Saccharomyces cerevisiae S288C: one gene and its partner. Changing the gene in region 1 together with any one later gene gives a genetic interaction. Each region holds a gene or a part of one and is shown in the gene's direction. Other genes may lie near its edges.

Region 1 (4,150 bases):
AACATTTAAGAATAATGATTTCATGGAATGTGACTGTTATGAAGAATTCTCAGATGGCGTCAACCATGCCTGTGACGAGGATTCTGACTGTATCAATAGACTTACGTTGATAGAATGTGTCAACGATTTGTGTTCATCTTGTGGTAATGATTGTCAAAATCAGAGATTTCAAAAGAAGCAGTACGCTCCGATAGCCATATTTAAAACAAAGCATAAAGGTTATGGCGTAAGAGCCGAACAGGACATAGAAGCCAACCAGTTCATTTACGAGTACAAAGGTGAGGTGATCGAGGAGATGGAATTTAGAGATAGGTTAATAGACTATGACCAACGTCATTTCAAGCATTTTTATTTTATGATGTTACAGAACGGAGAATTCATTGACGCCACAATAAAGGGTTCGTTGGCCAGATTTTGCAATCACTCTTGCAGCCCCAATGCATATGTTAATAAATGGGTTGTTAAGGATAAGCTACGCATGGGAATATTTGCTCAAAGAAAAATTTTAAAAGGTGAGGAAATCACTTTTGATTATAATGTGGATCGTTATGGTGCTCAAGCTCAGAAATGCTACTGTGAGGAGCCAAATTGTATTGGGTTTCTCGGTGGTAAGACTCAAACAGATGCGGCATCTTTATTGCCCCAGAACATCGCTGATGCCTTGGGAGTGACTGTTTCCATGGAGAAAAAATGGCTAAAGTTAAAGAAATTAAGCGGTGAGCCAATAATAAAGAATGAAAACGAGAACATAAATATTGAATTTCTTCAATCATTGGAAGTCCAACCTATCGACAGCCCAGTGGATGTGACGAAGATCATGAGTGTATTACTACAGCAAGATAATAAGATAATTGCATCCAAACTCTTGAAGAGACTTTTTACTATCGATGATGACTCTCTTCGTCATCAGGCTATCAAACTACACGGTTACACCTGTTTTAGCAAAATGCTTAAATTGTTTATCACGGAACAACCTCAGGTAGATGGAAAAGGAAACGAGACTGAAGAAGATGATATAAAGTTTATAAAGGGAATTTTAGATTTTTTGTTGGAATTACCAAAGACAACTCGAAACGGTATTGAGTCGTCACAAATTGATAATGTAGTAAAAACTCTCCCTGCAAAGTTTCCATTTTTAAAGCCAAACTGCGATGAGTTATTGGAGAAATGGTCGAAATTTGAAACATATAAAAGGATAACGAAGAAAGACATAAACGTCGCAGCCAGCAAAATGATAGATTTGAGAAGGGTGAGATTACCTCCAGGCTGGGAGATCATTCACGAAAACGGTCGCCCATTGTATTATAATGCAGAACAGAAAACGAAACTACACTATCCACCTTCGGGATCATCTAAGGTCTTTAGTTCAAGGTCAAATACACAAGTAAATTCTCCGAGTAGCAGTGGAATACCAAAAACGCCTGGCGCTTTAGACTCTAAGAAACATAAGCTGAGTGACGAAGAATATGAGAGGAAGAAACAAAAAAGACTGGAATACGAAAGAATTGCGCTAGAAAGAGCCAAACAAGAAGAATTGGAAAGCCTGAAGCAAAAGCTAAAGCTTGAGAATGAAAGAAAAAGCGTTTTGGAGGATATTATAGCGGAGGCCAACAAACAGAAGGAGTTACAAAAGGAAGAGGCCAAAAAACTAGTGGAAGCAAAAGAGGCTAAGCGGTTGAAAAGAAAAACGGTCTCCCAGTCCCAAAGACTAGAGCACAACTGGAATAAATTCTTTGCATCTTTTGTACCCAACTTAATAAAAAAAAACCCACAAAGTAAACAATTTGATCATGAAAACATTAAACAATGTGCTAAAGACATCGTGAAAATCCTAACTACAAAGGAACTTAAAAAAGATTCTTCAAGAGCGCCGCCTGATGACTTAACCAAAGGAAAAAGGCATAAAGTTAAAGAATTCATAAATTCATACATGGATAAGATTATCCTCAAGAAGAAGCAAAAAAAGGCGTTGGCATTATCATCAGCATCAACAAGGATGTCTTCTCCTCCACCTTCAACATCATCATAATTAACCAGACATGCATATTTGGGGCTTGTTTCACGTTTTCTGTCCCAAAGGAAGTCTTGTACTTTAATTGTAATTGCGATTTGTAATAAGTAATTTTTTTTGTCTTTACCGTTTATTTCTTTATACATTTTTGGTGCATATATTTAAATATCCGCATTAGTGGGCTATCAGTAGCACTGTAATGATAGGTAATGTGACACATCTTCTCGACAGATATTATTCTTGAAAAAATCGTGCGTTTCAAGTGTCTTTATTTTTTTGCTGTCAATAGAAGTGTTGAAATGACTTTGAAACGTAATTACCGCATCGGGAAATTTACATGTTAACTGCAATGAAAACAAGGAATATACGGGGAACATATAAAGGGTCAGCGTCGTTGACTAGTCTGTCATTTATATTGTGCTTGTACATAGGACTACAAAAATTCAAAGAATGACGACAAGAAACATGACTACTTTAGCATCAAGTATTGAGCATAAAACAAAACATCTAGCCGCGCCCTTCGAGAACGATGAGAACCCTTGGATGAAAAAATACTGTTGCCAATGCAAATCATGTAAAATGAGTGTGCCTGTCCAACCTTGGCTGCCAAGGTTTTTTGTTTTTGGAATCTTGTGCCCCGTTTTCTGGTTGGTGAATCTTTTAGCCTGGTGGTTCTTACAGTATTGGCAACCACATGAATTGGAATTCCACGACTTGCAAGAAGACGAATACCCAGGATTTTATGAATATGAAGCCATAACTAAAAGAACGGTGATACCCATAAAGGAAGAAGTCCTCCAAGAGATTCGCGTCATGCAGAATTTCAGTGATAGCAACAGCGAAGAATATTACGAGAGCAAAGACGGTATGCCGTCGTCTTTCCTAAACGTGAACACGGAACAAGTCGAGGACGAGAATGACACCTTGAAAAAATATCGTTACGCGTTTTTGAAGAAGGTAGCCCACGATGTGCTGGAGTCGCACGATTTATTACGTAAGACCTTCCGCGACTGGAATTTACGGTCTTTGCTTGGCCTCCTCATCGATTCTATACTCATAATATTTGTAGTTCTCCTATGTAAGAAAAGCCGTTAGGTAGATCTAAAGACAGAAAATGATATCAGCCTCTTTCTTTTCCACAGCCTCCATTTCCCATTTTTGCTGTATCTGCAAGGGTTCCTTTTTCCATTTTTTTTTTTCAAAGTCTTGGCTCCGCCCTTTTCTTTTGTCTATTTTGCCGAGCTTAGGTTATTTATAAACCTGAAAATCCTCGAGAAACAATCCTTATCGAAGGAAGCAGCCATAATAGAACATACTCAAGTGCAAACATTACAAGCTTAAATAAGACAAATGTTACAGAGTATAGTCCTTTCCGTGTGCATGTTTATGTTGCACACAGTCGCTGCCAGTGGACCTCAGTCGTACCAAAAGTTGGATTTCACTAATGTTGGTTTTACAGGCTCCTACGTAGATGTGAATAAGTTTAAAGATATCACCAACAATGAATCGTGTACTTGCGAAGTGGGTGACAGAGTATGGTTTAGTGGTAAGAACGCTCCACTAGCAGACTATTTATCCGTTCATTTCCGTGGACCATTGAAGTTGAAACAATTTGCTTTTTACACATCCCCTGGATTTACCGTCAACAACAGCAGAAGTTCTTCTGATTGGAACCGTCTTGCCTACTATGAGTCCAGTTCCAAAACCGCTGATAACGTTACCTTTCTAAATCATGGAGGTGAAGCTTCCCCTTGTTTAGGAAATGCTTTGTCCTACGCTAGTTCTAACGGTACTGGCAGCGCCAGTGAAGCTACCGTTTTGGCAGATGGCACTTTGATTTCTTCAGATCAAGAATACATAATCTATTCGAATGTCTCATGTCCAAAATCAGGTTATGATAAGGGTTGTGGGGTTTACCGTAGTGGCATTCCAGCTTACTATGGGTACGGAGGTACAACAAAGATGTTTTTGTTTGAATTCGAAATGCCTACTGAAACTGAGAAAAATAGCAGCTCTATTGGGTACTATGACTTGCCTGCTATTTGGTTGCTAAACGATCACATTGCAAGGACTTCTCAATATCCAACCAATGCCAACTGTTCATGTTGGGCTAGTGGATGTGGGGAATACGATATTTTT
Region 2 (4,150 bases), on another chromosome or scaffold:
GAGCCAAAGTACAAGGGACAAATAACGATACGGCGGGAAAACATAAGATCGGATTCGTCCGCTGTATCAAGAAATAAGTCTAACAATAATTTTGTCGATAAGCCTGAGACGGAATTGAGCACACTGACTTCAACAGACAACCTTTTGAGTCGCACAGAAAATAATAGCAATCATAATTACAACAACAGTAATGTGAGCTCTAACAGCATTGGATCACCCAATTTCCATTCTTTGAGGAAAGGATGGCAAATACCCAATCGGAGGAACTCGAACACTTCAGTATCTGTGTCTTCTAGTGAGTCTTTAGCGGAAGTTATTCAGCCATCTTCCTTCAAAAGTGGGAGTAGTTCATTGCATTATCTATCGTCTTCTATCTCAAGCCAACCTGGTTCGTACGGTTCTTGGTTCAACAAAAGGCCAACAATTTCTCAGTTCTTTCAACCAAGCCCTTCTTTAAAACACAACGAGTCGTGGGAGAGGCTGCAAACAACTGCTGGAAATATGCAAAGGACTTCAAGTTCGTCTTCTTTGCAGCAAGCAACCTCCAGGTTATCACTAACCACTCCGCAACAATCACCGTCTATCAGCGAATATGATGAGTATCCTTGGATGGGCACACCTGGCTCTCCTAATGTTGGAGATGTGTCTCACGCACCCCCATTGGTTAAGAATATATCATATAAATTTCCACTAAAGAACGTTGAGTTGAAAAGAGATTGCCAAAGGATCTCTCAGGATGATCTTTTGGATGAGGCTTTTGAAAGAATATGTCAGCCCTCTTTGGCTGACCTTAATTCCACTTACGAAATTTTTCCAGGTAACTCTTCTTATGCGGATATTTTGACTACTGATTCTGATATTGATGATGGCTTGATGAATAAACCTCTGGAACTATTGCCGAAATATACAATGTATTTAACCCATTTTAACAATTTTTTCCAGTTGCAAGCATGTCCTGCTGGTCAAGAATCAGAGAGCAGAATAACAAATTCTATGAAGATTGACCTGTTAAAGGCGGATTACACAAGAAGTCTATTAGTATCGTTACGTTCAAGGGACATTAGGGATGTCGCATTGAAAAGAGAGTTTACTGGCAATAACAACAATAACAGCAACCAGAATATCTATGATGAGAATTTTGTCGGAAAAAGGAAGTACGTGTTGAAACAGAAGACCAGAAAAATCTTTTCCTGTGGCAAGATTGGCAAGCTAAGTACTAGTTTGGAAAACTGCGTTAATTTTGTTGAAAATAGTATAAAGAGTGCAATGATGTTATATGATGATAATGGAATAGATAGTGAGCTTCGCGATTCAGAAGCTTTACGGATTTTTTCATCTCTTGTTCATTATTGTAATGCAGGTTAATGTTTTCTCCTTCTTTACATGTTTAATATATTCCAAGTTACCTAAGAGGTGTACGATATTTTTTTCTTTTATATATATGATTTTCTCTATTCATTTTTTAGTTTTTTTTGATACATAAGCGAATCGCACATTGCGCAACTTCAATTTGTTGATTCGCCAAAGTATTCTTACCATAAAACAACCATTCGTTGCTTTACCCTTTCGTAATCATTTACCGTGATAACCATAATCAGAAACTTATTATTTCAGCCTAGTAGACCGGCCAAGCAGGCCTTGTAATGTTTCTCTTGATTGCTTGAATCTTTTAAGCAGCCAAATCTTTCCAAAAAAATGCAATTATCAGAACAAAACTATTTAAGGTGACTTCTCCGTATTTACACCACCAGAAGCGTTCTGGCTCCCCTTTTCTCTAAACGTTAAACATTTTACAATTGAAATGTTACCAATCCTATATTATTGTACCACATTGCCAGATTTATGAACTCTGGGTATGGGTGCTAATTTTCGTTAGAAGCGCTGGTACAATTTTCTCTGTCATTGTGACACTAATTAGGAAACTTCTCGACTATCAATGTGTAAATGAAGGAATAATGGCGGAAACTTTGAAACTTTGTCAATAATTGCATCATTGGATGCGTTTCATTTGGCCGTTATCACGGAGAGGCAGAGTTCTCTCCACAATTTGGGCAGAAGTCTTTTGAAAAGACATATATATATATATATATGTATATGAGTGGATGCTTAAGGTAAGAATAATTTCTGAATTCCCAAGTATTCATTTTGTGCAGTATTCACATATTCTATTTTATTGCTTTTTAACTTTAGAGGCAATTAAATTTGTGTAGGAAAGGCAAAATACTATCAAAATTTTCATGTCATACAAGTCAGCAATAATAGGGCTTTGTTTGCTAGCTGTGATACTATTAGCTCCCCCTTTAGCATGGCATTCACATACCAAGAATATTCCAGCAATCATTTTGATAACATGGCTTCTTACAATGAATTTAACGTGTATTGTAGATGCGGCAATATGGAGTGACGACGATTTCCTCACGAGATGGGATGGTAAAGGTTGGTGTGATATTGTCATCAAGTTGCAGGTTGGTGCGAATATTGGCATATCATGTGCCGTTACCAACATCATTTACAACTTGCATACAATTTTGAAGGCAGATAGTGTTTTACCGGATCTTTCATCATGGACGAAAATCGTCAAGGACCTTGTGATTAGCTTGTTCACACCTGTCATGGTCATGGGATTTTCATATCTGTTACAAGTATTTAGATATGGTATCGCTCGTTACAACGGTTGCCAAAACTTATTGTCTCCGACATGGATTACCACTGTTTTGTATACCATGTGGATGCTTATATGGTCATTTGTGGGCGCTGTTTATGCCACCTTAGTACTGTTCGTGTTTTATAAAAAACGCAAGGACGTTAGGGATATTTTACACTGTACCAATTCAGGTTTAAACCTGACAAGGTTCGCAAGGCTGTTGATATTCTGTTTCATTATTATTTTAGTCATGTTCCCTTTTTCTGTTTACACCTTTGTTCAAGATTTACAGCAGGTAGAAGGACACTATACTTTTAAAAATACCCATTCCAGCACCATCTGGAATACCATTATTAAATTTGACCCTGGCAGACCAATTTATAATATATGGCTTTATGTTTTGATGTCTTACCTAGTATTTCTAATCTTTGGCTTAGGTTCTGATGCTTTGCATATGTACTCTAAATTCCTGCGTTCCATCAAACTAGGATTTGTACTTGACATGTGGAAAAGATTCATTGATAAGAATAAGGAAAAACGAGTAGGCATATTGCTAAACAAGCTGTCCTCACGCAAAGAGAGCCGTAACCCATTTTCTACAGACTCTGAGAACTATATCTCCACGTGTACAGAAAACTATTCTCCCTGTGTAGGTACACCAATATCACAAGCGCATTTCTATGTCGACTATAGGATTCCAGATGATCCTAGAAAATCTCAAAATAAAAGCAAAAAATATTTGTTTGCTGATAAAGAAACAGATGATATTCTTGATGAAATAGACCTAAAAGAAAGTAGGCACATCCCTTACGTCACGCAAGGACAGAGCTTTGACGACGAAATATCACTTGGAGGATTCTCAAAAGTTACTCTCGATTATTCAGAAAAGCTTCATAATTCTGCAAGCTCCAATTTTGAAGGGGAAAGTCTTTGCTACTCTCCAGCTTCAAAAGAAGAGAATTCAAGCTCAAACGAACATAGTTCAGAAAATACTGCAGGCCCTTAACACAAGAGTGTCGCATTATATTTACTGGACTAGGAGTATTTTATTTTTACAGGACTAGGATTGAAATACTGCTTTTTAGTGAATTGTGGCTCAAATAATGTAACGATGAGCTCATCAGCTAATATGTGGCTTAGCGGTAAAAATGACGAATTGTGTGTAAACTTTACTTTAATATTTACTGCTTTTTTGCTACTTTGGTTTCTATTTTTTTCTATAGAAAAGCAATAACGTCTGTATTATATATAAATATAAGGAGAAATTGATACAAGTTCCACACAAGAAAAATTTTTTAAGCTCGAAACAAAAGTAAGCTTTTGCTCCAAAAGTCGATTAGCAGAACAGTCTTTAATAAACGAGAGAATTGGCACGATCACTTAATTGGCCATTTTTTTAGGAGCATACCAAAATTCAGGCCAGGAAAACATGAAAGAGCATCATATCTCCGCTCATAATCAAAGAATATTTAGGTACCCACAATTTCAGTTCGCTCTATCACTATT

What was found. A genetic interaction does not mean that the proteins touch.
Region 2: of ASG7 (region 1) and STE3, changing one enhances a phenotype caused by changing the other (phenotypic enhancement), as found in Saccharomyces cerevisiae (one study listed by BioGRID).

The regions. Positions count from the first base shown.
Region 1 is NC_001142.9:100,106-104,255, reverse strand, and holds ASG7 (Asg7p), read left to right. Parts: upstream 1-2,476; coding exon 2,477-3,106; downstream 3,107-4,150. Other genes in the region: histone methyltransferase SET2, read left to right, coding at 1-2,029; TOH1 (Toh1p), read left to right, coding at 3,362-4,150. UniProt on the Saccharomyces cerevisiae protein: Required for receptor inhibition of inappropriately expressed a-factor receptor (STE3) in MAT a cells. Inhibits signaling by relocalizing the G protein beta-gamma (STE4-STE18) subunit to intracellular membranes.
Region 2 is NC_001143.9:112,715-116,864, reverse strand, and holds STE3 (Ste3p), read left to right. Parts: upstream 1-2,237; coding exon 2,238-3,650; downstream 3,651-4,150. Other genes in the region: LST4 (Lst4p), read left to right, coding at 1-1,365. UniProt on the Saccharomyces cerevisiae protein: Receptor for the peptide pheromone a factor.